Linked DNA regions of Sus scrofa. The protein of the gene in region 1 purifies or fractionates together with the protein of each later gene. This does not show direct contact. Links are inferred from orthologs where the notes say so. Each region holds a gene or a part of one and is shown on either strand. Other genes may lie near its edges.

Evidence for each region.
Region 2: the proteins of CTNNB1 (region 1) and TCF7 purify together in Homo sapiens (affinity purification with western blotting; 8 studies listed by BioGRID and IntAct, with this or other methods). This does not show direct contact. The link is inferred for Sus scrofa from reciprocal best matches to the Homo sapiens genes CTNNB1 and TCF7.
Region 3: the proteins of CTNNB1 (region 1) and HDAC6 purify together in Homo sapiens (co-immunoprecipitation; 3 studies listed by BioGRID and IntAct, with this or other methods). This does not show direct contact. The link is inferred for Sus scrofa from reciprocal best matches to the Homo sapiens genes CTNNB1 and HDAC6.
Region 4: the proteins of CTNNB1 (region 1) and CACYBP purify together in Homo sapiens (affinity purification with western blotting; 4 studies listed by BioGRID, with this or other methods). This does not show direct contact. The link is inferred for Sus scrofa from reciprocal best matches to the Homo sapiens genes CTNNB1 and CACYBP.
Region 5: the proteins of CTNNB1 (region 1) and IQGAP1 purify together in Homo sapiens (affinity purification with western blotting; 3 studies listed by BioGRID and IntAct, with this or other methods). This does not show direct contact. The link is inferred for Sus scrofa from reciprocal best matches to the Homo sapiens genes CTNNB1 and IQGAP1.
Region 6: the proteins of CTNNB1 (region 1) and AXIN2 purify together in Homo sapiens (affinity purification with western blotting; 4 studies listed by BioGRID and IntAct, with this or other methods). This does not show direct contact. The link is inferred for Sus scrofa from reciprocal best matches to the Homo sapiens genes CTNNB1 and AXIN2.
Region 7: the proteins of CTNNB1 (region 1) and ENKUR purify together in Homo sapiens (affinity purification with western blotting; 3 studies listed by BioGRID). This does not show direct contact. The link is inferred for Sus scrofa from reciprocal best matches to the Homo sapiens genes CTNNB1 and ENKUR.

Annotation. Positions count from the first base shown.
Region 1 is NC_010455.5:25,162,939-25,167,094, reverse strand, and holds the start of CTNNB1 (catenin beta-1), read right to left. Parts: upstream 2,801-4,156; 5' UTR 2,653-2,800; intron 2,629-2,652; coding exon of another isoform or gene 2,208-2,628; intron 1-2,207. Other genes in the region: basic proline-rich protein-like, read left to right, coding at 2,208-2,628. UniProt on the Homo sapiens protein: Key downstream component of the canonical Wnt signaling pathway.
Region 2 is NC_010444.4:136,443,243-136,446,742, reverse strand, and holds part of TCF7 (transcription factor 7), read right to left. Parts: intron 956-3,500; coding exon 847-955; intron 14-846; coding exon 1-13. UniProt on the Homo sapiens protein: Transcriptional activator involved in T-cell lymphocyte differentiation. Necessary for the survival of CD4(+) CD8(+) immature thymocytes. Isoforms lacking the N-terminal CTNNB1 binding domain cannot fulfill this role.
Region 3 is NC_010461.5:42,938,713-42,942,212, reverse strand, and holds the end of HDAC6 (histone deacetylase 6), read right to left. Parts: intron 2,338-3,500; coding exon 2,163-2,337; intron 2,049-2,162; coding exon 1,654-2,048; intron 1,566-1,653; coding exon 1,461-1,565; intron 1,327-1,460; coding exon 1,180-1,326; intron 1,085-1,179; coding exon 956-1,084; intron 728-955; coding exon 659-727; 3' UTR 319-658; downstream 1-318.
Region 4 is NC_010451.4:117,062,855-117,066,794, reverse strand, and holds the start of CACYBP (calcyclin-binding protein), read right to left. Parts: upstream 2,801-3,940; 5' UTR 2,403-2,800; coding exon 2,382-2,402; intron 1,981-2,381; exon of another isoform or gene 1,903-1,980; intron 1-1,902. UniProt on the Homo sapiens protein: May be involved in calcium-dependent ubiquitination and subsequent proteasomal degradation of target proteins. Probably serves as a molecular bridge in ubiquitin E3 complexes. Participates in the ubiquitin-mediated degradation of beta-catenin (CTNNB1).
Region 5 is NC_010449.5:53,107,479-53,110,978, forward strand, and holds part of IQGAP1 (ras GTPase-activating-like protein IQGAP1), read left to right. Parts: intron 1-870; coding exon 871-1,011; intron 1,012-1,103; coding exon 1,104-1,188; intron 1,189-2,266; coding exon 2,267-2,499; intron 2,500-3,087; coding exon 3,088-3,220; intron 3,221-3,500. UniProt on the Homo sapiens protein: Plays a crucial role in regulating the dynamics and assembly of the actin cytoskeleton.
Region 6 is NC_010454.4:12,329,708-12,333,207, reverse strand, and holds part of AXIN2 (axin-2), read left to right. Parts: intron 1-1,734; coding exon 1,735-1,875; intron 1,876-3,500. UniProt on the Homo sapiens protein: Inhibitor of the Wnt signaling pathway. Down-regulates beta-catenin. Probably facilitate the phosphorylation of beta-catenin and APC by GSK3B.
Region 7 is NC_010452.4:50,320,609-50,324,108, reverse strand, and holds part of ENKUR (enkurin), read right to left. Parts: intron 2,793-3,500; coding exon 2,647-2,792; intron 1-2,646. UniProt on the Homo sapiens protein: Adapter that functions to localize a calcium-sensitive signal transduction machinery in sperm to a calcium-permeable ion channel.

The DNA.
Region 1 (4,156 bases):
ATCAAGCATGCTTCCACCCTAGCTCAAAGTACAAACTTAAAATTTACCACCTACTCCTCTACAATTATTATCAGTAACTAGTAAATCATGAAGAGAGAAACAAAATCCTATTGTAACTGGATAGATGTATTATTTCAATAACACAAGTTTCACTGGCTGAAGATACTTATATAGTCCATATCTAGGGTTTTAATCTCACTGCTACTTTTAATGACAGAGAATCAAACTTTTGAATTCTCCACATCCCCAGTTTTAATAATACTTCTGCTCCTCTTTTCACCCCTCCCAATAAAAAAAAACAGTATTTGCAGATAGTTTTCCTGAAAGACCAAATCTCAAAATACCCTTAGAGAAATATGCCTAATTCATGTTTTCCTTCCTATGGGGGGGGGTGGAGGAGGGAAGTATCTATGAAAACAAAAATACACTACTTCACTTACATGGATAATTTTTATTCCAGTCATCACTGGCAACAGTAGGAAGTTCAATTCAGCTTATGTTTTAATACTGGGATCCATACTTTTCTACATAATTATCTTGGTAGAGGAAGTAGTCGGATAACGTTTCAAAAGAAAACTCTTGAATACCTATTGACACTTGAACACTGCTAAATGTTTCTTTTTTGTCCTTTTTTTTGCCACTTTATTTTTAAAAATTGGTTTTTCCTGAAAGCTATCTTAAATGATTATTCTAGCCTATGGAAAAATCTAAGCCTAGAACTCCACAAGGGCTCTAAGCTACATGCTATACTAAACTTTCTAGTTTAGTTTTTTTATTTCCCCCTCAAGGACCTTAGACTTGAATAGTCTCAGCATTCCTTTAATCCTATAGAAGAGTCTTCTGCAAGTTTTTCGAGTTACTGTTGCAATCACTTTAGGGCCTTGTACATGGCCTTTAGAACAAAGACTAGGTCAAAGTAATGAATATTGGGTGCAAATTAATCAAATTTTGTGCAAGGATATTCTCAAACGTTAATGGCACTTTTTTTTTTAACCCAGAGATTTTGTGGGTTTAAATGTAAAAGTAAAATAAATGCAGCCATCGCCTTAGTTCAGACAAAAAAAAAAAAAAAAAAAAAAAAACCCACAAAAAACCCTCCAAAGTATGTTTTTGTCACTGATTTAAGCAGATACTAAACAGTAGCATTATGGTAAATAATATTTCAAGCTATGTCCAACATTTCTGAAGACAAGTTAAGGTGAAGATAGCTGAAGGTACTGAATGCACACCAAGGGACAATAACGAAATGGCTTCCTAAGTTCCAGACAAAATACTTTATAACTCAGCGATCTGAAAAACATCAGTCCAGACTTTATCAAAGGCTAGCCGTCGCTTCAAGTTGCTGTCTAGTCTAAGCCACCACTATTCACGACACAAAGCTCTCGTTTCACTAAAACCACTCCTCGATTTCCTTTTGCGGACCTCTGCATACCAGCAGGCCAGTCTCCTCATTCACCACTCACAAACTCGGGGGGGAGGGGAGACCACAGATGTCTGGAAGATACAAAGTAGGAGACAATGCTCCCTCCAACAGGGAACTGAAAACGAAGGAATCAACTACACCCAACTGCCAAAGCTTTCAAGTTTAGCGGATCCAGTAGCGGGCTTTGAGAACTGAACTTCGAAACTGCATTCCAAGTCCTCGCCCCAGACAAAACACGGAACGAAGTTGCAACGCTTGAATTTCCTTCGGGCAATTTCGTAGCGAGGGAAAAATTCATCTCGCTGGAAAGTGCTCTCAAAATCAAGTTTAGCTGGCATGAAATTATCTAAATAAAGAATTTCCACGAACAAAATTCTCGAAGCAGTCAGAGGCTGAGTCCGGCGGGTCACTTGGTAAGAGACAGTAAGCCAGTCGCCCTCGCCCTTATTTTTCCCAGGACCTTCCTTGCACACTGCTTTCACTCACCTGCACCGTACAAGAAAATAAAGGTGCTAGATATGGATTTTATTTGTGCAACTCCTCCTGGAGCATCGCTCCGTCTGCAATAATAGTTTGGATCCTCTACGGTTTAAAGTTGCTCCGATTTAAACAGGAGCCAAAACCAAACACACCAGCAGAGCATTAAAATAATACTAACGATTCTCTTAATTCGTCCTTAAGCACGAAAGAGGGACTCTGAAGAGAAAGTCTACTGGTCCTCTCCTCATGGCAGATGGGACCTCGGGTCCCAGGCCCAGCGCCTGTACCCCAACTCCCCTTGAAGGCCCGGAAGGCGGAGTCCCCCGTCCCCACCCCGCCCCCCACCCCGGCCCCGGCGCATCCAGAGGCGCAGGGTCCCTCCCCCAAACTCGGCCGCGGCCGGAGCCCGGGACGGAAACCACAGACCCCCCTACTATCCCCCGCCAGACAACGGAGCTCCCGAACGCGCCCTCGCGGCGCCCCCTCCCCGCAAGCGGCAAACCCGGGGCCCCCAAAGAGCCGCGCGACCGGAACCCGGGCCCGGCCGCCGCCCTCCGCCCCTCGGGCCGGGCCCGCCCCCGCCGCCTCCCCGGCGCCCCCAGTCAGCCCCCAGCTCCCCACCCCGGCCCTCCGGGCTGCACCGGGCCCGGCTTCCAGCCGCCGCCGGGACCGCGCGCCCGCGACGAAGTTTGGCTCCGAAGAGGAGCGGGAGCAGCCCCGGAAGGGTAAGGAAAGGAGCACCCAAGCACCTCAGGGGAACAGGCTCCTCCCGCCGCGGGAGTCCGACCGTCCTCGGCCTGCGGTGGCGGCTCGGCGGAGACCGGAGCTGCTCCTCGGACCTTCCTCCGTCTCCGCCTCCCCTCGCTCTCAGCTCCCGGAGCCGGGTTAACGCGGCTGCCACAGACCGAGAGGCTTAAAATGGCGCCGCACAAGGAGCTCTTATAAGTCGCGCAGAATCCGCTGTATCCTGCCGCCAGCGGCGCAGCGCGGAGCGTTCCGCCGCGCGAGGACAAGGGGCGGGGCGCGGGCGGGCGGCGGAAAGTAGTCCCCGCTCCGCCGAGCCGCCCGCCTCGGGCTGGGGCGGGGCGCTTGCGAGCTCTTCGGGCGCTCCCGGGGGTTAGAGGCCGGCGGCTGCCGGGCCGCGCGGGACCGCAGGACAGATCCGCCAAGGCGCTGTCGGCCGAGATGGGGCGGCCAGGGCACCCGCGGGCCGGGATGGGCTGGGGGAGGGCGACCCCGAAATTCTCCACTATCGGGATCCCGAAGCCCCCCGGCTCTCACTCGTCCAGTGCCAAGAGAGCGGACGCTGGACTGGCCGCTTGCTGCCCGTGGGAGGCGGCACCCGGACCCCGGCCCTACGAGGCCGAGCGGCACAGGTCCCAGGAGGGCGGAAGTTCGGGACCGGGCCAACCGCAGTGCTGAGGTCGGGGCCCGCCCGCTCCCGGCGCTGCCGGGCGCTGCTGCTGCCCCTATGCAAGTCGAGGGACCCCGGCGCGATCGTGCTTTCGCCGTCTTTGCGGTCTGGGCCCCAAGCTCTCTGCAGGACTTGGCTCCTAGCCGAGCCGCACATTACCTCCACGGTCTGAATCGTAGATTCCGCATCCCTACCGGCTTGAATCTGGAAGTGAAGTACCGGGCCGAGCCTCCTGTTAACCCAATCCCAAAGACTGAACTCGTGTTAGAACGGGCGCCTAGCCCGCAATTCAACAAGTCCTTAGTCCCTACTGTGAACAAATGACTGATAGAAATGGACTAGCTCTAGAGCCCTGTCAACTAGGTTAATTCTTACAGATTTCAATTTTATCTGGTTCCACTTTACTAAGTATCAATAAATTTGTTGGGGGAGGATTTTTCCTCGGAGGAAGTTCATGTATAGATATTACTTAGTTGAGAAATCCAAGTTGTTGTTTATGGAAGGAGCTATCAGGCAGCTTCTAATTTTTAAAAACGAATTTTCTATTCTTAAAAACATTTTCTAATTCGTCCTAATAGGCTGAAGCTGGGTCTTCGTTTCCCTTCGAAATGTCTCCATTGTAATCCAGCAAGATTGGCATTTGTCAAAGATGAAAAAATTATGATCCATTCACTTTGTCTAGTCTATTGTATGCTTATTTTTCCTTCAAAACAATGAAGAGCATACAAAAAGCAACAGTGAAAGTTATCTTCAGGCTTTTATCCCTGTAATTAATGCATGCAAACAATAGGTCTTTATGCATAGGTACAGACAGGAAACCTATTTACTCATTCACTCAT
Region 2 (3,500 bases), on another chromosome or scaffold:
GGCCTGTGAACTCCTGCAGTGAGAGGGGCCGAGTAAGTGAGCTAGCCTGACCTGAGGCCACGCGCTTACATCCTCGAGCTTCCTGTGAGGCCTCTTCAGATCCCACCTCCCTGTGCCAGAGGACTGGACAGACGAGTTCGTCCAGGGCCATGCCAGGATGATAACAGTGCCCCGTCTGGAGCCCAGGGGCATCAAGGACAGGGGGTTTGGGTGACTTGCTTAAGGACAGTGGCTGGCCAGTGGCAGAGTGGGAGTCATTCAGGAGTGGGAGGCCAGATCTCGCCACCTCTCAGCAGGATGCTGGTCTGCAACTGGGGCCTCTGCTGGGGGCTCCTGCTTAGCCTTCTGGGCCGGAGGCAGACCCCCTGGCCTGGGGAGCCAGGGCTCCACCCTTTCCCCTTTCCTCCTCCTTCCCAGGCTTGAGTCAGCAGGTTTCCCACAGCGACACTGGCGGATTTCAGAATGACTCTGCCTGAGGCTGAGGTGAATCAGCCATCACAACCACCACTTTCCATTTTCTCACTGGGGGAGGGAAAGACTACACGTTGTGTGTTTATCAGCTTCACACACAGGCCCACTCCCAGGCTGGCACCCAGGGCTTGTTCAGGATTTCGGCTCCTACGTTAACCTGAAGCCTTCAAATTTTGACCTGGTACCACCATCCCTGACCCTTTGGTACCCTCAGGCTCATTCTTTTTGGCATTGGCGGGGGGGGGGGGTTTGCACAGCCCCAGGTTCTCCATTTGTAGGAAGGGTCCAGCCACCTGGCCTGAGGGGGCAGGGACTTGAGCCTCCCACTCTCTGGCTCTGGGTATCCTTGGGCTCCTCCCCATCCAGGGTCCATACCTTGCTTCTGGCTGATGTCAGCTGGTGCAGGTGTGGGGTGCGGACTGCTGAAATGTTCATAGAGAGGAGAGAGCTGGGGGACGCCGTGGGAAGGCTGACTGGCTTTGTGCTGCGAAACAAGGAGGGTGGGTGAATGGGGGGACCTGAAGGAGGAAGGGTGCCAGATCGCTGTGTGTGGGCAGACCAACCCCCAAAGGAAAGTGGAGGTGGCCAAAACCACAGGCCTCAGTGGACAGCCCCCCGCCCCAGGCCACCCGGTGTCTGGTGGCCCTGCCGTCCTGCCCCTTCCCCTGGCCCCAACTTTCCCAAGCAGTCCAGCCTCCTAGAGAGCCTCCTAGAAGACCCTTGAGGAAGAAATTCTTTCTGTCTCCTTGGCTGAGGTCTCTCAGTTTCTCTGAGGCCCTATGTCTGATCTGGCGAGCTGGTCACGAGCCTCCTGAGCTCCAGGGCAGCCTGGGGCTTGCTCTCCTCCTCCTCTAGCCCCCAGACTGAGGGGCTTGAGCCGGAACCTCTGGAACCACCAGCTCGAAGTCAGGGGAGGTAGGCAAGGTGGCACTGGGTGTAGCCAGGCTCCCTCCAGGGCCAGCGCACCCGGCCTCCGCACTTCCTGTTGCCTCAGCACCGCAGGACTCTTACTTTTTACACTATAGTCACATGGATCTGTCATGAGATGACTCACGTTCAGGCTGTGAAGGGGGCTCCCCGTAGGCCCAGCAACAAGGAGTGTGCGCTCAGAACCGAGGCCTGGCCTGTGTACCCGCAGTGCGTGCCCGCGCCCGCGCTGGCCAGTGCCCTGCAGGCATCATCTGCAGCGCCAGGTCACCTTCCACGGGGAAGAGTCCACCTGTGGGGGTGCTGCTGGCTGGGGCACAGTCCAGTGACCTCTGAGCCATGGCACGAGAGCAACAGGCTACCTCTGGGGCAAGACAGTCAGGAAAGGCTGCGGTCTAGGCTCCTGCTCACCCTGTAGGTGAAATTTCTCACTGGGTGAATTTAGTCAGACGCCTTGACGTCTCTGGGGCCCAGTTTCCTCTCTGTGAAATGGATGGGGTTCAAGACCCCTTTATCACCAGGGCTGGGGAAGGTCAGGGTAGCTCTTGGTAAGGAGCCTGGCACAGGTCCCTTGGTACTGCTCTTACGGGTCTGGGTGAGGCTGGAGGCAAGGGCAGGGATGAGCCACAGCGGGTGCAGCAAGGGGCTCCCAGGTGGGCAGAAGATCCCACACCTCCCAGCAACAGCCCTGGCACCAGCTTGCCCACATCGCTGCCTCCAGTGGAGCCTCTCTTCCCCTCGGGGCTTGGTGAAGTTGCTGACATTGCCACCTACCAGTCCCCGCTCACCCATCTGCCCACGAGGAGAAGCTCAAATACCAGGGCTAACCAGCCTGCCTTCTGTCCTTAAGCCCTCAGCAGGTGATGTTCTAACAGTGGTGGCTCCTCTGCAGCTGGCATGGATGTGGTGCCACAGCCACTTCCTGAGCCCGATGCCTTCCTTGTGACCAGAGCCCCCTCCTGGCCTCCTGAAGCAGGGCAGGGGAGCATCCCTCAGCCTTGAAGAGGTTCTGCCACCACAGCAGTTCCTGCATCTAATTTACTACAATAGCTGAGCAGCCATGACCTTGTCTCAAATGGCTGCTGGGAGGATAAAGCCAGACAGCACCCCAGAGCTCAGGTACCCAAGTGTCACGAGGAAGGGAAGTGTAAGAAGCCCCTCACTCACCCCGAACTGCACAGAGGAAGTGCTACTCACAGTGTCCCCCCAGCCCTCTGGTGCCAGGCCTCCCATGGGCCAGGCGCTTTGGTCTCATTGCACCAAAAGGGGTTTGCCCTGAGATGGTAGCCACTTGCAGCATCACTCGGAGACGACAGGGCCGTGCTGTCCCCTGGCCTTGATTGCTGGGACTTCCCTGTTGCTGTCTGAAGGCCAGGCTTCCTGAGTGAGCTGGGGGCGCTCCAGTCACTCTCAGGTCTTCCTTGATCCCCAGCACTGACCCCAACACTCCTGTATCAGGCTGGGAGCGTGGGGGGAATGGAAGGTGGAAGGCGGGATGTCCAGGCCTGCAGGTGGCTAGCAAGAGGCGAGGGAGGAGTAGGCCAGGGCAGGTGTGGGGTATGCGTGGCACAGGACTCCTGCACATACTGAGTACTTGCCACATGCCAGGCACCATCCCAAGCACTCTGCAAGCCCAAACCGCTTCCCACCAGGGTACCAACAAGTTGCCACTTCTCCCAGCTGTAAATCCTCTAGCTGCCACCTCATGGCTTGCTTCCCTTTACTGCAGACAGCAGAGCTGTCCCCATCCGCCGCCTCGAGTCCTTGCTCTCATCCATGGCAGTCTCTTGCCCCATCACTTCACCAGATGACCTGTCAAGGTCCCCTGTGACCTGTCTCCGAACTCGGCTCAGTTCTCTGTCTCCATTTTACCTGCCTCCTCGGCAGCACCGCGCAGAGCTCATTTCTCCTCCCTGCTTGCTGCCGTTCCTTCTCCGGGACTGCAGGATGCCACACTCGCCGGGTTTCCTCTCAACTCAGAGGCCACTCCACTCCCCCCGGCCCTCTTCCTAACTCTCCATCCTCTTCCTGACCGAAGCCAAGCTTGGCTCCTCAGTTCTCCATCTATCCTTACCGCCCAGGCTGCTCTCATCCAGGCTCAG
Region 3 (3,500 bases), on another chromosome or scaffold:
CAATCAAGACCAAAAAGCAGGTGGGGAGACTGAGGCCTAGGGAGTTTTCTTGCCTTCTCAGCCCAGGGTGTAGCTGGGACCGGCTGGGAGGCTCCTATATCTAAGGCGGGCACTTACTTTCTCACAGATTCCACCATTTAATCCCTTGTGGAGCCAGTCGAACTATTGTTCTACTCGCAGTTAGTTTGAGGGGGCGCTGGATGAGCTGGGGGTTGACAAGAGAAAGACCCACGCCCTCATGCCTTCATTTACACATCAGCCCTGCTGGTCAGGGGCATGGGCTTCTCTACCCACTCGAAATCAAAGCCTTTCTCCAGGTTTTTGTAACAGCTTGTACTTTACTGCATATGCCACCCCGCCAGACCTGCCAGTCATCCCCCCTTCCCTCCAAAGTATCATCTTTACATCAGCCCCGCCTTGGGGTGACTGTGCTGCCGCCCCTTCCTTCGGGGGCAGAGTAGATGGAGTCCCTTGAGCTGGCAGTGAGCAGGGAAAGACGTACAAGTGATCGTCACTGTCCTCTTAAAAGTATTTACACTTCGGGCGGCACCCTTGGGGAGTGGTAAAGGGGCTTCAGGATGGGGGGAGCGAGGCTGCCTCTCCTCCAAGGTACAACTTGGGATGGAGTAAAGCAGGCCCGCGAAGAGGCTTCTGGGATCTAGCGGGAGTGGGGCACGCCCTCCCCAAACTTGTTCTGGTGGGCGATGTTCTTCACAGCCAGGAGAGCCTGAGGAGGAGGAGGAGGAGGCAAGAGAGGGGAGGGGAGAGAGAGTGAGTACCCCTCTCCCTCAGCCAGGACGCTGCGCCCCCTCCAGCCCTCCACTGCCTTCTCCCTTGCATTAGCCCCCATGCAGAAGGGTCTCCATCCGCCCCTGACCCAATCGCAAAAGCTGGGGGGGCGGGGAGAGGGGTGTGCGCGAGTGTACGGGAGTTATAGAGTCTGCCCAGGGCCCACCTCGTGGTGAACATAGGCCTGGCAGGGGTAACACCAGGTAGACAGGTCGGCGTAGCTGAGGACCATGGGGTGGCCTGAGCTTTCGTGGTGCTGGAGCATATGGGCGTTGATATAACGGCCGCAGCAGACCTAAGGTTGGGGAGTGCGAGTTGGGTGGGGGTCAGCGGTCCACTGTGGTTTGCTCCATGGCCGGCTGCCACCCTGCCCCTTCCTCGGTGCCATACCTGATAGCAAGACAGACACACCCAGTTCTCCTGGAGTGCTCCACAGTCTTGACAAGGTTGGGTCACGTCCAGGCCCGCTTCAGGTACGGGGCGTACTGCCACCACATGTGGACACCAGAGCAGTGGTGACACAGCATAGAACATGGCCTGAGGTGGGTGACACTGAGTAAGCGAGGGATGCCATCTCCTCCTGACATGCTCCTATACAGCCCACGCTCCGATGTGGGGGCACAAACGGGCCAAAGAAGGAAGCCGCCGCTCTAGCCTCGGCCTGAGCTCACCTGGTCAGTGTCAGCTTGGTTTCCAAAGACCTGCATCAGCATTAAATTGTCCATGTTCTGACCTCCAGCTGCCTCTCCTAGCAGCCCTTCCTCTTTTGGGGACTCCTGGATACAAGGAGGGAGACAAGCGATGTATCCAGGAGGCCTGATTCTTGCCCCTTCTCCCTGCTATTGAGGGTGGGGGGGGCCTTACCTGAACCTCATTTCTCAGTTCCAAGGCTCCGAGATTGCCTACCAGCTTGCTGGGGGAGATCAGAGTTGTGGATCCTTGCCGTGGAGAAGCTGGAGGAGTCTGGTTGTCACCTCCCGAGGCTGGAGGGCTTTGGATCAGCTTAGCTCCTCCCACAGCCTCCTCTGTGGCAGCCTTTGAGGACTGGTCCTGAGTAAGTTCCACTAGGGCTGCCTCTGACTTCGTCTGGCCTGGGGGGGACACTTTCACTGATGATACCGAGGTGGCCTTCCCTGTGTGTGCTTCCGGAATGTCCCCTTTTGGGGCGGTCATCCCCTTGGATGGCTTAGGCTTGGCTGGTTGGGATGGCTTCTTGGCGAACGACTTAGAACTGGAGGGTCTCTCTTTGTCTTCGACCTCTGGAAGCATGAGAGGGAGATCCTTGAGTGTGGGGGTGCTATCCCTTCTCCTGCCTCTAATCCCTGCCCTCCCCTGAGCCCCCACTGCCCCCCCGATTCCCCAGGCCCCCTCACTTGTGACCCGCAAGCTGCGCCAGTATCTGCGATGGATTTGGGTGGTTTCGGCGATCGAGGCCAGGGCCCGTGAGAGTGGGGGCCTCAGCAGGGTCAGCAGGGGTGGTGAGTCCCCAAGGAGGGAGCGGGTACAGGCAGCCATGGACTCCGAGATGGATATCAGGTTATAGCCACCCTTTGTTAAGGAAAAGAGGAGGGAAAGGTATGATGGGGCGAGGTCCTCAGACAACTGGGGAGACTGGATGTCCTGCCTCCCTGGGGGCCCTGCAAGTCTGGAGGGTGGGTACTGGGGACAAGTAAGTAGAACACACATCTGTCAGGTGGACAGCACCCACTGCGTGCGGTAGTTGTTCAGGGGGATAAAGTGTGCTGTAAAGTGTAAGATAATAATAACCACCGCCACTACCACACTGATGGCAACATTAGTGAGAGCTGATTTCCGTTAAGAGCTTGCTGTGTGCCAGACCCTATTTTAAGCACTGAATCCTCACAACCGCATGTGCTCAGTGTGTGTGGGAACCCGCCTTCCTGGTATGGGATCCCCTGGCCCCACCTGCACAGAAGCCTCCGCCCTGACCTTGTACAGGAACTGGTGTCTCCACACAAATCTCTGATTTTTTGTTTTTGTTTTTGTATTTTGCCTTTTCCAGGGCCGCTTCCCGTGGCATATGGAGGTTCCCAGGCTAGGGGTCTAATCAGAGCTATAGCCGCCAGCCTACGCCAGAGCCACAGCAATGCGAGATCTGAGCAGCATCTAACCTACACCACAGCTCACGGCAACGCCGGATCCTTCACCCACTGAGCAAGGCCAGGGATTGAACCCGCAACCTCATGGTTCCTAGTCGGATTCGTTAACCACTGAGCCACGATGGGAACTCCACAAATCTCTGTTCTGACCTGGTACGGGAATCCCCTTTTCTTATACTCGATAGGAACCCCTGTCTCTGCTCTTTTTGCAGATAAAGCAACTGAGGCTCAGAGTAGTTGGATGACTTGTGTGAGGTCCTAACAGCTGGTCAGCTGAGGTAGGAACCCGGGCTATCTGAGGAAAGAGCCCACCACCCTGCTCCACCACAAGCAGGCCTGGGCACACAGTGGGGACACCTCACCAGCCACTTAATATCTCTGTGACTTATTGTCCTCATCTGTAAAGGAGTAAAAGTGACAGTATAGTACATTGCTGAGAAGGTTAAACTAATGTATGAACAATACTTGATAAGAAGCTACTAGAGGCTTCCTGGTGGCTCAGCAGGTTAAGGATCTGGCGTTGCCCCTGCTCCGACCTGGGTCACTGCTGTGGCACGGGTTTGAGCCCCGGCCCAGGAACTTCTGCATGCT
Region 4 (3,940 bases), on another chromosome or scaffold:
TTGTTTCCAGAGTAGGGATTTAGGTTTTTTTTAAAAAAGAAAATGTATAAATTCTAAACAATATGGATCCTTTTTCTAGGAGACTCAGAACTCTGTGAATTTAGCAATGTATGCCCAGACCCTCTTTACAGCCAGTTTGGCTCTACAGCACCACAAAAATGAGATATCCACTGTTAAGTCTGAAGCAACTTACAGCAGGCCTGTTTAAGATAATTCCTTAGTTCTCTGTTATTTACAAATTTGAAATGAGTAATAATGATCCCTTTGGTGCTTTTCCTGTAAATATCTTTAAGATGCCTGAGATACAGCAGTTTGTCACCTAATTTCTCTAGGCATTCATTTATCTTCCTTATGCAAAATCACATCTCCTTTTTATTCCTATCATAAATATATTCAAGCTTTCTCTTCTAACTTATTTCCAAGTTCTTCACTAAGAAGCATTAAAACCAAAGTGGTTCAAAACAGGCAAAGGACTTGAGCAGACATTTCTCCAAAGATGTACAAATGACCACCAAGCACATGAAAAGATGCTCAACATCATTAGTCATTTAAGGAAATACACATCAAATTCATAATGACATACCACTTCACACCCACCAGGATGATTAACATCAACAAACAACAACAAACTCCAGCAAATAAGAGTTGCTGAGGATGAACTGAAATTGGAACCTTCATACACTGCTTGTGGGAATGAAAAATAGTGCACTTTGGAAAAGAACTTAGCAGTTTGTCGGTTAACCATATGACTCTGTAATTCCACTCCTCCATATATACCACAGATTTGAAAACCTATGCCCACATAAAAAGCTGTACACAAATATTCACATCAGCAGTGTTCATAATAATCAAAGTGAAAATCAACCAAATGTCCATCAATTTATGAATCAAAATGTGGTATATACATACAATGGAATATTATTCAGCCATAAAAGTATATGCTTCACCATGGATGAACTTGAAAACATAACGCTAAGAGGCCAAAAAAGTCATATGCTTTAAGATTACATTTAGATGAAATGCTCGGAATAGGCAAATCCACAGAGACAGAAAGCAGACTGGTGGCTGCTGGCAGAAGAGGAGTAATGGGAAGTGACCGCCTAATGGCCACTTAATAGGTTTCCTTTGGGGGTGATGAAAATGTTCTTGAATCATATACTGATGGTTGCACAACACTGTGAATATACTAAAAAAAGCACTGCATTATACACTTTAAGATGGTAAAAACAGCGAATTTTATATCAAACAAAAAAACCCCCCAAATGTCCCTAAACTTATACACTGCAATTAGAAAGCCTGTTACTTTGAAAGGGATAAATATTGAGCAACTCGTGTATGTACAGTCACTTCAGAGTCTTTCCTCAGGGCACGTGGTACCCAAAGACCTATCTTTAAAACACATAACAAACTTGTGGCACATTATCCACAATAATACTTAAAACACATACACACTTTTTCATTTAAAGCAAATTCTTCGACTTAAAAAGTCAAATGTGAGGATTTCCCAGTCTTGTTCATATTAAGCAGAAGATTCCCAGGGAGTAAATCTAGTTAGTGGAAACCCAACAATTAACTGTGATTAACAGTATTGTCATTGTACTTAAGCCAGAAAAAAGAGCAAAGCAAGTATTATTATTCCCATTTTGTAATTGCACAAACTAAATCTCCAAAAAGTTAAGCCACCTGTGTTGAGTTTATAGAGCTTTAAAAAAAAGTTACAACCAATTTCCCAATATAGTTATTTTTTAAAACGCACATAGCAAACAATTGTTTTGCCAAGCACTGTTTACAACCCTGTGAAATGGATACCACTGTGGCCCAGAGATGCACCATAACTTGCCCAAAGTATGTGTAGAGAAAACATGACAGAGAATTTAAGTGCTAGGACTGAGGACTTCTCACCTTCCAACTGCCCTCTCAGTGGAACGACTCTCAGTTTTTGCAATCGGCTTTAATTTAACGAAGCTTCACGTCCAAAGGCTGGTGTAAAAGGAGTGAAAAGAGCCTGAGGATAACGTGAAGGTGACCAGCTCTTGGGTCCACGGTTGGATCCACCTGCCGCCGAGAACCGCAACACACCTCCGCTCACCTACAGCGCCGACCGCCGGCCGGGGTTGTGGAAGGCATCCAACGGCAACTTTCCGGGGTAAGCGAAGCCCCGAAGGCCCGCAGTGGCCGGTCGGCACCGGGGCCGCCACAGCTGGGCGGGTGGGAGGCCGCGGGGAAGCGCGGGAACCCAAGGACGCAGGAAAGCTGCCAGACAGGCAGGTGTCGCCGGCAGCCGCAGCGCAGCTCGATAGGGGAAACAGGGCGGTGGGGCGAAGGACGCAGCGGGAAGCTTTAGTAAGGCCGAGGGAGGAAGATGAGGCCAGACCCCTTACCTCTTCCAAAGCTGAAGCCATGGTCGAGCTGCGTCAGGCAAGGCCCGAGCTCCACCGGCACAGGGCGAGAACAGGAACGCCGCAACGAGCGCGCTGATTCCAAGCGCAGATCGCACGGACACGAGTCGCAGTGGCCGTGGCCGCGGCCTGAGAACACGCCCGACTCTGAACGGGAGAGCAGCCGGCCTCCGGCACGCGGCGCCTCTGGAACCTTCGCGAGTCCGTCGCCGAAGGCCCACCCCGCTCCAGCACCGCCTATAGGGCTTGGCCCCGCCCTGCCTATCCTGGCCCCGCCCCGCCCACCTCGCCCCGTAGCAACGGCTCAACTCTCGCGATCAAACCGGCAGTTCGAGAAGAGTAACGCCTCTTCCTTCCCGCCTGGGCAACTGTACGTAATTTACTTTGACCCCCATCGCGCCGACTGCGCAGTCGCAGCTCGAAACCGCCGCTTCTGCTTACCTTAAACCACCCCGGAAATAACGCACCAATCTTCGGGGCCTAAACCGGAAGTTGACTAGGCAGTCGAGTGGTTCGGTGCGCTCTAGGACCCGGGGCCACTTCGTCGGCCATCTTGTCTAAGACTGTGAACGTATGCGAGTAAAGGACGAAAAAAGGGATAAAGGCGAGCCTACGTGTGCTAAAACGGGAAAAAACGAGGACATTAAGTGCGCAGGATCCTGAGGGGAACGGTTGTGTTTTCACTGGGTTCTGGCGCTCTGGGGACGTCAGGATTCAGCGTATACGACGTGGTGGCGTCATCACCGGTCGCAGTAGGAGGTGGGGTTGCGTTGGCCGTGTGGCGGGACCCAGTGGCGGCTCCGAAGCGGAGTAAGCTTCCTAATATGCTGGGCGCCTCCCGGGGTGGCTGAGTTTGCTTCCTTCATCGACCAGTCACCAGATTTGGATTCGATTTCAGTGAGCCTATTAATGTCAAAGAAAATGTGAGCTAAGATTTCCTGAGGCTGCATTCTGCTCCGGTTCTGACTCCTGCAGCCCGGCTTAGTAAGGCCCTTGAAAAACTCACTTTTCAGATAGATTATTTTAGCCTTTGGGGACCTCAAAACGTCTGAAACACGGTTGAGAATGTAGACGGTTACCCCTGAGATGTCAAATAACCCACACTCGGCTTTATCAACCCCAAGGTAAAGATGATCCGCAAGTCACAGAAGGAAAAAAGTACAGAAAAATGCAGGGCCATTATCTCAATAAAGAATCAGAAGTACAATACAAAAACAAATTACTTTTGCACACAACTTATGGACGTTAAGGAAAAGATGCTAGAACTAGAGAAGTTCATATCGTTTGATTCCATTTAAACAAAATCTAAAGCTGTGAGACTGAAAATCAGGTTGTGTTTGGGAAGACAGTGACAGAAAGAAGCCACGAGGGGGCTTTTGAGATTCGGCTAATTTTTTTTTCTTGATTTGAGCCCTGGTTACAGATGTGTTCACTGTGTAGAAATTTCATTGAGCGTCCTTCTGTGCAGTTTCTTGTGTATGTTATTTTTAACTAAAAGTTATATTTAAGTAGGCCCAAGAGGTAATTTTCCTGGTAGAAAT
Region 5 (3,500 bases), on another chromosome or scaffold:
CTTCAGGCTTAGTGCCCTCTCCTCGAGTGATCTTATCAGCTCCTCTGGCTTCAGTTCCTATATATAGCTGTCACCTCCTTCATTAACACCCAAAGGGTCAGTAAGTCCCATTGACTGTGCTCCTTAATGTCTCTCAGGTCTGTGTCCTTGGTTCTCACTGCTGCATCCTTGTTCATGCCCTCATCATTTCTTAATCAGACTGTGGCACTAATCTTGCAGCTCCTTCATCTGTGACTGTCCATCTTTAATTCATTTCCAGTGGTGGGCCAGTACTATCACCCCCAAAATTCAGATCTCTTATTAATGGTTCTCCCTGGCTCCTAGGAAAGTCCAGACTTCTTAACATTATGTAATAGAGAGAGCCCTCTACGACCTGGCCGCTTTTGCACCCTTATTTCTCCGTTCTCTCCCCTTTTTTGCATTTGACCTTCCTTCCTAGAAGACCTTTCTTCTCCCTTTCTCCTGAGTTCATATGTCCCTTCCTTATGGAGGTCTTCTTTCATTCGTCCTGAGTAGAGGAAGGTGGCACTGTGGCACCATGGTACCTCTGGTCAGTGTCTTATTTGTAGCACTGTGGGTTTCCAGATACTTATTTGTGTGTGTCTCCCACCAGACTGTAAGAGACTCAAGAAGCTCTCATGTCTCTAGTACCTTTTATCCCAAGTGCCTGTCTTAGTGCCTGGCAGTAGTTCCAGGCACCCAATTCACAGTTGCAAACCTGAGCCCCAATTCTTGCCCCACTGTTTACCAGCTCTTTGACCAGAAGAAGCTCACTTAATCCCTCTGGGTCTTTCTGTTTAGGAAAGTCTTGCTTCAGGCTCTTCCTGGCTGTTAGTCTAACATGGTTGGGGATCATTTCTCCTTTTCCAGCAAACTGCCCTATGATGTGACCCCAGAACAGGCTCTGGCTCATGAAGAAGTCAGGACACGGCTAGACAACTCCATCAGGAACATGCGGGCTGTGACAGACAAGTTCCTCGCAGCCATCATCAGCTCTGTGGACAAAATCCCGTGAGTGCCATCAGCTGTGATCCCAAATAGCCCCCAGCATTAGTGGCCCTCTGCTCCCTGGCCCTTCTCACTAAGTTTTGTCCATCCCACAGTTACGGGATGCGCTTCATTGCCAAAGTGCTGAAGGACTCATTACATGAGAAATTCCCCGATGCTGGTGAGGATGAGCTGCTGAAGGTAAGACTCCGAAAGCTGGCACATTCTCGCCCTTCCAATAATAGCCCTTTGAGGAAAGGTTACAAGACCAGGCCTGACCTTAGACCTTTAGTAAGTGCCTAAGCATAGATTTTGTCAGTTTTGAAAGCGATTATAAATAGTACCTGTGTTAAATGATACCTGTCCTAGTTCCCATGTAGTTTGTATATTGTTCGAATGGCACACAGACATCACACAAGTAGAGAAGACAGATTTTCTTAAGATAAACTTCTTTGAGTCCTGTCTTTTCGCTGAAGAATTGCTCCCTCTGCTGGTGGCGAGGTGAATGGTAGCAAGCACCATTGTTTCTGCTAAGGCTGTTGCTGGTAATTCTTTCTTACTCAGCTATGCTCCCTCCTCTTTTTTTTGTTTTTTTTCCTTTAATCTGAAAGCTTTTTTTCTTCTCTCCTAGTTCTGTGCTTTCCTACACTGAGGCCTCGATTCTAGACTTTCTGTTCAGGTGAATTAATTTTATTTTTTTCTGAATGAAACTCTAGGGGAAGTGCGACTGTCCCTGAATTCTTCTGTGGAAGAGATGTGTGTTGAGTGACTTTAATTTCAGAGGCATGAACTTGTCTGCCTTTGAAGTCTGCAGCATGAGGATGATGGGGGTTGGACGTGCTGTGCTGATTAAGTCATGTTTAAGGATGTATTTTTAGCTGTGTTTGTTAGTTTCTTAGAATGAAAGCCCAGCTACATAAAAGTGAAAAGTGCATGTGGTTGACAGCAGCCTTATTTGCTGCCCTATTATATGTGAACAAAGAATGCCCTAAAAGGCTCAATAACAGACCTTGAGTCTATCATTTTTACCTTCTGAACCTGCTCTTTCATTGTTGTGATTTTGAGTTCCGTTCTCATTCACTTTTTTCCCTGCAGCCAGCCAGGGGATGTTCGGCCATTTTAGTTTCAGGGCTTGAGAGAAAATGTGTGTGCATGTGTGCGTAGTGTTTGCTTTTTCCTCACAGGACCCCATTTTCTGGTTTCCTTTGCTAGCAAAGTCATTTATGGTTTACTCGCGGGAGTGGTTTTTAATACCCATTTCTTTTTCCTCTGTTCCTAGATTATTGGTAACTTGCTTTACTATCGATACATGAATCCAGCCATTGTTGCTCCCGATGCCTTTGATATCATTGACCTGTCAGCAGGAGGCCAGCTCACCACAGACCAACGCCGAAATCTTGGCTCCATTGCAAAGATGCTGCAGCACGCAGCTTCCAATAAGATGTTTCTGGGAGATAATGCTCACTTAAGCATCATTAATGAATATCTTTCCCAGTCCTACCAGAAATTCAGGTAGGAGGAAAGGAACAAGGCACTCAAAAGATTCTGTGGGTGTGTTTCTGACTCTGAGGGGAAAGACAAAGTTAAACTCCACATCCAGCATGCTCTGAACTCCAGGGTGGTAGGATATATGTTTCCTGGGCTCACAGCTCCAGATGAAAAGGATGTCTGAGCCATTAAGATATATTCCTGGGCAATAGACAGTCCTTAATGTAAAAAAACAACGGTCTGCATTAGACATGTGTCACTCCGTAATCAGAGAAGAACTGGAGAGCACTCTTAATGTGTGTAAATTGAACACTGGCTTGTGAGTTCAGGGTGCTGCCTTAGAAAGTTGCTTCTGCTGACCGCTAAGGTCTTGGAGAACTTTGAGGTTTGAAATCATGGTTGAGCAGCTCTTGTGGATAGAACTAAAACAACGCGGAGAGAGGACCAGCGTCCCAAGGCTGTCGGGCACAGCAGACAGCCACAGTTTCTCTGGCGTTAACTGGCCTGGCTGGCTTCTGTCTGAACTCACTGCTCCAGAGGCTTGTGGGATGTCCCCTCTCCAGCTTCTCACACGTGTCACTTTTGGGGCCTGGCTCCTGTGCTTATTTTCAGACGGTTTTTCCAAACTGCTTGTGATGTCCCAGAGCTTCAGGATAAATTTAATGTGGATGAGTATTCTGATTTAGTGACCCTCACCAAGCCTGTGATCTACATTTCCATTGGCGAAATCATCAACACCCACACTGTAAGCATTTTGCTTTAATTACTTAATTTCATCGCTCTGTCTTAATTGCCTTCTCTGGCTACTGCTTGCCATCTCTGGAAGCCCAATATCATACCATCCTTTGATCTTTCTGATATCGCATCTACCTGTTGTTTATCCTCCTTGGCTCATTATTCTTAACATTCTTGAAGTGGCCCCTAGGCCACCTGCAACTGCCTCAGAATCATCTGGGCTGGTTATTAAGAAGGAAGTTTCCTGAACCCCACCGCAGGCCAGCTGGATCAGAATCCCCATGGGTGGG
Region 6 (3,500 bases), on another chromosome or scaffold:
CCTGCCTGCCCCACCCCTACTCCAGTCCCACCTGGGGACACCCCCTGGATCCCACAGGCTGCTGGGAAGGCCTCAAGCCCCGCCCCCCAAGCCAACCGGCCCCGCCCCCTTCTGCTCCAGTCTGGGGAGGGCTTCTCACTGCTTTTCCCTTCCCTGCTCACCCATCTCCATTCACCTGCTCCTACCTGTCCCAGGTGAGCCTGTCCCAGGGAGCCAGCCCCCAGCCCCCCAGCCAGTCCTTTCCATCACTCGCTGGACCAGAGTTTTATCTACCAGGTCACTCGTCCTACCTCTTAAGCTAGACCTTTTTCAAACCCGGAGGCCAGCCTCTGTGTTAAGAAGCAGCAAGAGAGGTTGAGTGGGAGCCAAAGAAATCAATCCCACACCCACTGGTTCCAGCTTTGTGATCCAGGGCAGGCCGCTGTGCTGGTGGGACCCCCAAGGGCACATCTGTAAAATGGGCACAGGACTCTTTCTCCCTGGGGGGGGCTGTGAAGATGAGATAAGGTGATGTGTATGAAGGTGGGCCCCTCTTTGTGGGCCCATGATAAGTGGCACCTCCCTTGCGGCACCCCCGCCTCTATGGGAACCCAGCGCTACCAGGCCATGGATGCTGGGGCTGGGTACCCCCAGAGTCCAGTGCAGTGCTGGACACGAAGCGCATAGGAGCTCGGTAGACTGTGCAGAAGACTCGCTTTGACCTTCATCTGCCAACCCCAGGGCCCTTTTTACAGGCCTGATGGTCTAGGTTCCCTTTTTTCTGGGCCTTTCCCTCCTCCTGCAGCCCATCTCTTTGCGGTTGGCTTGGACTTGGTGGGCCCAGTGGAGCGGGCCAGGGTCTTGGTCAAGAAGGCCTCCGGGCTGTGCAGGCCTCTCCCTGTAGCCCACCGACCACAGCGGTCCCTTCGTCCTCCAGCCTTCCCCCACTTCAGTCCCTGGCTGGTGACCCAAGAGGAATGCAGCCCAGCAGGGGCCAGGCACACTGGTTGTTCTGGGAGGAGATCAAGAGGGCAGAGCTGGGGAGGCAGAGGCCACCGGAACAAAAGGGCGGGAGCCACTGGAGGAGGGGCCTGGACCTTCCTTTGAAACAGCTGTGCTGCTCATTTTAATCCTGCGGCCTCGGCCAGCCCTGCGAGGGGGAGGCCCGGTGGGGGCCCAGCTCAGAGTGGGATGGGAGGGGGTCTTAAACTTTGTCCCAAACATCTCTGTCCCATCTGTCAGCTCGCTGGGCCCAGCCTGGAACAGAGAAGGACCAGCCTCCAGTTGTTTGCATCTCAGAGCTGGGCTCACGGACCTCAGGCGGGGAGTCTGGGAGCTTAGATGTCTTGGGACCCCCAGATTGTCTTCTTCCCGTGCAGGCTTGGGGGTGGGGGCAGGGAGGGGGCAGCCACTCCATCGCCACTGGCCCATTCCCCCGTGTTGCCCCCGCCGCCCCGGCCTCCCCTCCAAGAGCAGCATCCTCTGCCTTCCTCTCTGTATGAGTCTGGGCTGCCTCTGGGGTCCTCTGTGCCCTGGCAGACCCGCCTTTGGGGGCAGAGGAACCCAGCCTGCTTTCTCCCCAGGGTGAGTCCGTGGCTCAGCAGGGCCCCTTTTGTGGCCCCTGCCTTCTGCCAGAGGCACCCCTGGCCACAGCCCGCAGGTTGGCCTTACACAGAGGGTGGCCGTCCTGGGGTCACCTGGTCCTCGGTCCTTGGCGAGGGTCGGTGACGCCCTGCGCTTGTGCTTTCCCCACAGGTCCTTCAAGAGGAGCGACCCCGTGAATCCATACCACGTGGGTTCTGGCTATGTCTTTGCGCCGGCCACCAGCGCCAATGACAGCGAGATCTCCAGTGACGCAATGACGGATGACTCCATGTCCATGACGGACAGCAGCGTGTAAGTAGGGTCTGGTCTCCCCGCCATGTACGCGGTTGGCCGAGTGACCCACTGGGCCAGCAGGGGCAGAGTCCTCAGCTGTTTGCTGGGAGGGGTGGGGCTGGTTTAAGAGGCTCACGTGGTCACCTGGGTTCCTTAAGCTTAGAGCCTTGAGTGAGAAGGTGAATGGTACCTTAACAGAAGAAAACCAAAATTAATTCGATAGAGGGTTAAGAGGAATATCTCCAGATTCCCTGAGTTTTATCCTGCCCTCCCTGTGGGCAGAAGTGCTCGGCTGGACTTGAAACTCAGGAGTCCTTTCCACAGGGACTTGGAGAATAGACTTGTGGCTGCCGGCGGGGCGGGGGAGATGGACTGGGAATCTGGGGTTAATAGATACAAACTGTTGCCTTTGGAATGGATAAGCAATGAGATCCTGCTGTATAGCACTGGGAACTGTATCTAGTCATTTGTGATGGAGCACGATGGAGGATAATGTGAGAAAAAGAATTGTGTGTCTGTGTGTTGTGTGCACGAGCGCGTGCGTCTTGGGGACGCTTTGCTGTACAGTAGAAAATTGACAGAACACTGTAAACCAACTATAATGGAAAAAATAAAAATCACTTTTATTAAAAAAAAAAGAAAGACCAAAAGAAAAAGAAACCCAGGTGTCCCACACACAGAACCACCAGGTGGGACCCAGGGTGGCATTGGAAGGGTTTGCATTTTAGGTGTTGATTGTTGTGGAAGGAAAAGGCCCTGGACGTGGGAGCCAGGAACCCCGAGTTCTCTGCAGGGCCAAGCGTGTAGTGCACCCTCATGGGCCTGCTCCAGTGGACACCTTTGGCAGGGTGCCTGCCTGCTTGGTCCACTGGCGGTTCCACCCCTCGGGGTGGGTGGGGGGGGTCCTCTCCAAAGGAGTGTCTGATCTTGGCCCTTTTGCAGATGGATGACTGGGATTTCTGAATGCCATCCAAGCCATCAGGGTGGTCGGCTGAGGTCAGCAGGCCATGGGGCAGGGTCATGCTTTGAGTTGCAGGTCATTCGAGGTCACACAGCGGGGACCTCTGGATGGGGAGCAGTGACTCTGTGAGTAGTCCCAGGTGGTGGTGGGGGCTGGCATCCTCATCTCCTGCCAACCTTGGAGATCCTGGTTCGGGGACTCGAAGGAGGTGGAGCCTGGGCTTTGGGCAGAGCTCCCTGAGAGCGTGTCTCACAACACCCGCTATTCTAGAAATGGTCTTTGAAGGCTTTCCTGCAAATATTTTGGAGAAGGATCTTCTGCTAAGGGAACAGTTTTCAAAAGCAAACCTATTGAGCTCTTGTAAGTTCTGGCACACTGATTTCGAGTTTGTTCTTTTCAAGTCTCCCCAAACTGGACCGTCTCTTCTTCCAGTTTGTTTGAACCAATCTGGTTTCTATTGGCCAATGATCCATTGCTTGGCCTGCAGCATGGAACCAGAGGGAAGGAAAGTGGATGAGGTTGGTTTGGGACTCTACCACTGATTTTCCTGGTGGCTTTGATTGTGTTACCTCAGATTCCCCTGTTGGTAAAGAGGGGAGGGAAGTTTAAGGGGAAAAGTTCCATCTGAATCAAAGACTAGCACTTAGGCACCAGTGAAAGTGGAGAAGGGTGAATACACATC
Region 7 (3,500 bases), on another chromosome or scaffold:
AGATACAGGGAGAATACAGCTACCTACAATCAGGGAGAGATGTCTCAAAAGAAATGAAGCCAGGAAACACCTTTATCTTGGACTTGAACTCCAGAATTGTGACAAAAATACATTTCCATTTAGGCTACCCATGTTTGTTATGTTAGCAGCCCTAGTGACCAACATACCTCTGATAATTCCATACCCCCAGAAATATTATAAAGGAGGTTTTGAATATTCATTAATTCATGCCATATATTTATGTTGAGCAATTACTATGTCCCCAGGTAATGCTCTAGGAACTGTGGATACAGCAGGTAACAAAAGAGACTGTCTCCATTCTCATGGAGTTTACATTATAGTGGGGGGTGAAAAAAGAAAATTTAATATGCAAAATATAATATATATATTTGCTTGAACTATACATAAAATTCTTCACTGCTTTTGACCTACAAAAATGGTATCTTCTTTCTATTTAACATGTTACTGAGATGTGAATATTGTCAAAAATTGAAATAAGGAGTTTTTACATGAAGCCTGAAGCAGAGACTAAGCCTTCCACAGCCCAAGTAGCTCCTTTGTATCAGATACATCCAACCAAGTAAGGATGGCTTAAAATGTTTGCCTAAAAAATCAGAGGCATCCATCTTCTAGATATTCACATGGGAAACATTTAGAAGCCAAATTTAATTATTAGCTGAAAGTGCATGCAAATGACTCCTCTAACTATAGCTTTAGAAATGCATTTCTGAATCCTCAGAAAATGAGGAAAGAAAGACTGATAACTCATTCTTAGTTGAGTAAGTAAATTATAAATCTTGGTTTATGGTTTGCATGGGATGGAGCCTAAGCCTACCCCCTTCTTTTGCTTATGTTATATGTATCTAAATGTCATCATGTCCCTCATCCCAGGAAGTAGGGGTTGGCAATGAGAGAAGGCTTAGAAAATGGGGTGAGGCTGTCTCTTCACAAATTATTTGGTGGCAGTGATACTAAATATGAAAACTGAATGACGTGGCTTTTTTAAAGGTTATAACAACATGACAATATCAACACAGCCTTGCAGTCATGCAGATGTTCCACCAGTTGAGACATGTTCATGGACCTGTTAGTTATTTTTCAGTGTGTCTAGAAAATTACTGTGCTCAAAATGGCAAAATATTCACAGACAGATTGGCAGCAGCCTTGACATATATTACCTTTAACTTTGTCTCAGTGGACTGGGCTTTTAAAGCCCTAGAATTTCTTAATTATTCTTAAGGTGAATGAAATTTTGTTTTGCCTTATAATGTTTATAAGAGGAGAGACAGACTTCTTCCTCTTTTCCTTATTTTCCTGGTAGTCTTTTCCCTGATATATATATTCTGTATGACCACATAGAAAACTGACTACCTAATTTGCGAGGCTCAGTACAAAGTGAAAATGTGGTGCTCTTGGATAAAAAACCATTAGGAATATCAAGATGGCAAAAGCAGAGGATTAAACCAAATGTGGGGTCCTTTCAAGCGTGGGGCCCCGTGTGACTGCACTGGTAGCATGCCCAAAAAAACGGCTCTCACTCATCAAAGCTCTTCCACTGCATTTAACTCCTTCATTGCCCTGACAGTCTTAGAGATCTGACAAGAGTTAAAAACCAGTCAAGGCTAAAATGAGCCTGGTAGTTGCTTCGACCACTGACTATAACAGCTGTTAAGTTTTATCTCTTGGAGGAAAGACTAGACAGGGTTTAGATCCTGACCAATCTTGCCCACTGGGATTTAGGATGCTTCTTATAATTGTTGTTTGCTATTGAAGTGAAATGGCTAGGGATGAAGATGGTGAGGCATGTGGTGCTGGAGATGGGGCTTTACTGAATAGTCGAAGATGAAGTTCAGATGCCTGACCATCAAAAGGAAAGTCTACTTGGGAGGCAACTTAGCATTGCCCACTCTCTTTTTCTACTACATTCTCTCTTTTTGTAGAGCTTTTTTTAAAATGTATTTTTAATTGACATATAGTTGATGTACAATATTATCTGTGCCACAGGTGTACAATATACACAATTTTAAAGATTCTACTCCATTTATAGTTATTATAAAATACTGACAGCTGTATTCCCTGTGTTGTACAATGTATCTTTGTATATTATTTTATACCTCATGGTTGGTACCCCTTAATCCACTACCCCTGTATTGTCCCCCTCTTCTTCCCACTGGTAACCACTAGTTTGTTCTTTATATCTGTGAGTCTGCTTCTTTTCTATTATATTCACAAATTTACTGCATTTTTTAGTTCCACATATAAGTAATAACATATAGTATTTGTCTTTCTGTGACTTATTTCACTTAGCAAATACTGTCCAGGTCCATGTTGTTGCAATGGCAATATTTATTCTTTTTATGGCTGAGTAATATTCCACTGTACATACATGCTACATGCTCTTTATCCATTCCTCTGTTGATGGGCACTTAGGTTGCTGCCTTATCTTGGAAACTTTAAATAATGCTGCTATAAATATTAGGGTGCATTTATCATATTCTTGACTTCTATTTTCTCCTAGGCTCTCAAATTCTGTTTAATACAAGGTAGAGTTGCTATCACTGTAAACATTCAATATTCTCAGACAAAATAATTTTAGTTAAATTACTTATTAACACTTTTAATATTAAAAAGAATGATAAAACCTACTGGGTGGTAGAGTTTTTTCCTTAGAGTGTTTCTTCAAGAAATCCTTTGGAGAAGGTACTTCAAGTTTTGCTGGTCCCATGGTTTTCATTGCAGTTTTAAATTTCTGCATGTCATCTTTTACAGTTGCCTTAAAAATTGATATGTACCTAAAAATAAAAAGTTATAGAATTTATATTTGTAAAAAAATTATTTAAAGCTTAAAAAAGAATATACTATTCTAATTTTTATATGTGTATATTCATTTGGAGATAGCCATAAACTAGTTTTCTGTATTACCTGAGCCCTGTCCATCAGGCTGAGGCAAGATAGTTGGAAGTTTTACCCTAAGAAAAGGTGCCAGGGTAAATATTGTCACAGTAGCTCCTTATTATACTTTGAACACCTTAGTTTCTATAGTGAGGTCACCTTTTCCATTGCTGACATTAGTAATTTGTGTCCTCTCTCTTTCTGCTAAGTATAACTTTTTAAATTTAATTGATCTTCCTAAAGAACTTTTCATTGATTTTCTCTATTGTTCACATGTTTTCCTTTCAATGATTTCTGTACTGATACTTACTATTTCTCCTAGTTTGGAGCTTAATTTGCTTTTCTTTCTTTTTTAGTTTCTCAAGGTTGTAAGCTTAGGTATTTGACTTGAGACCTTTATATTTATCTAATAGAAGCTATAAAATTTTCTCTAGGAATTGCTTTATAGCTGTATTCACAAATTTTGATATGCAATGCTTTCATTTTCATTCAGCTCAAAGTAACTTAATTCCCTTCTGATACCTTCTTTGGCTTAGGAGTTTAAGATGCGTTTTGCTTGGTCTCCAAATATTGAGGGATTTTCCAGATACCTCTCTGATTTTTAATTC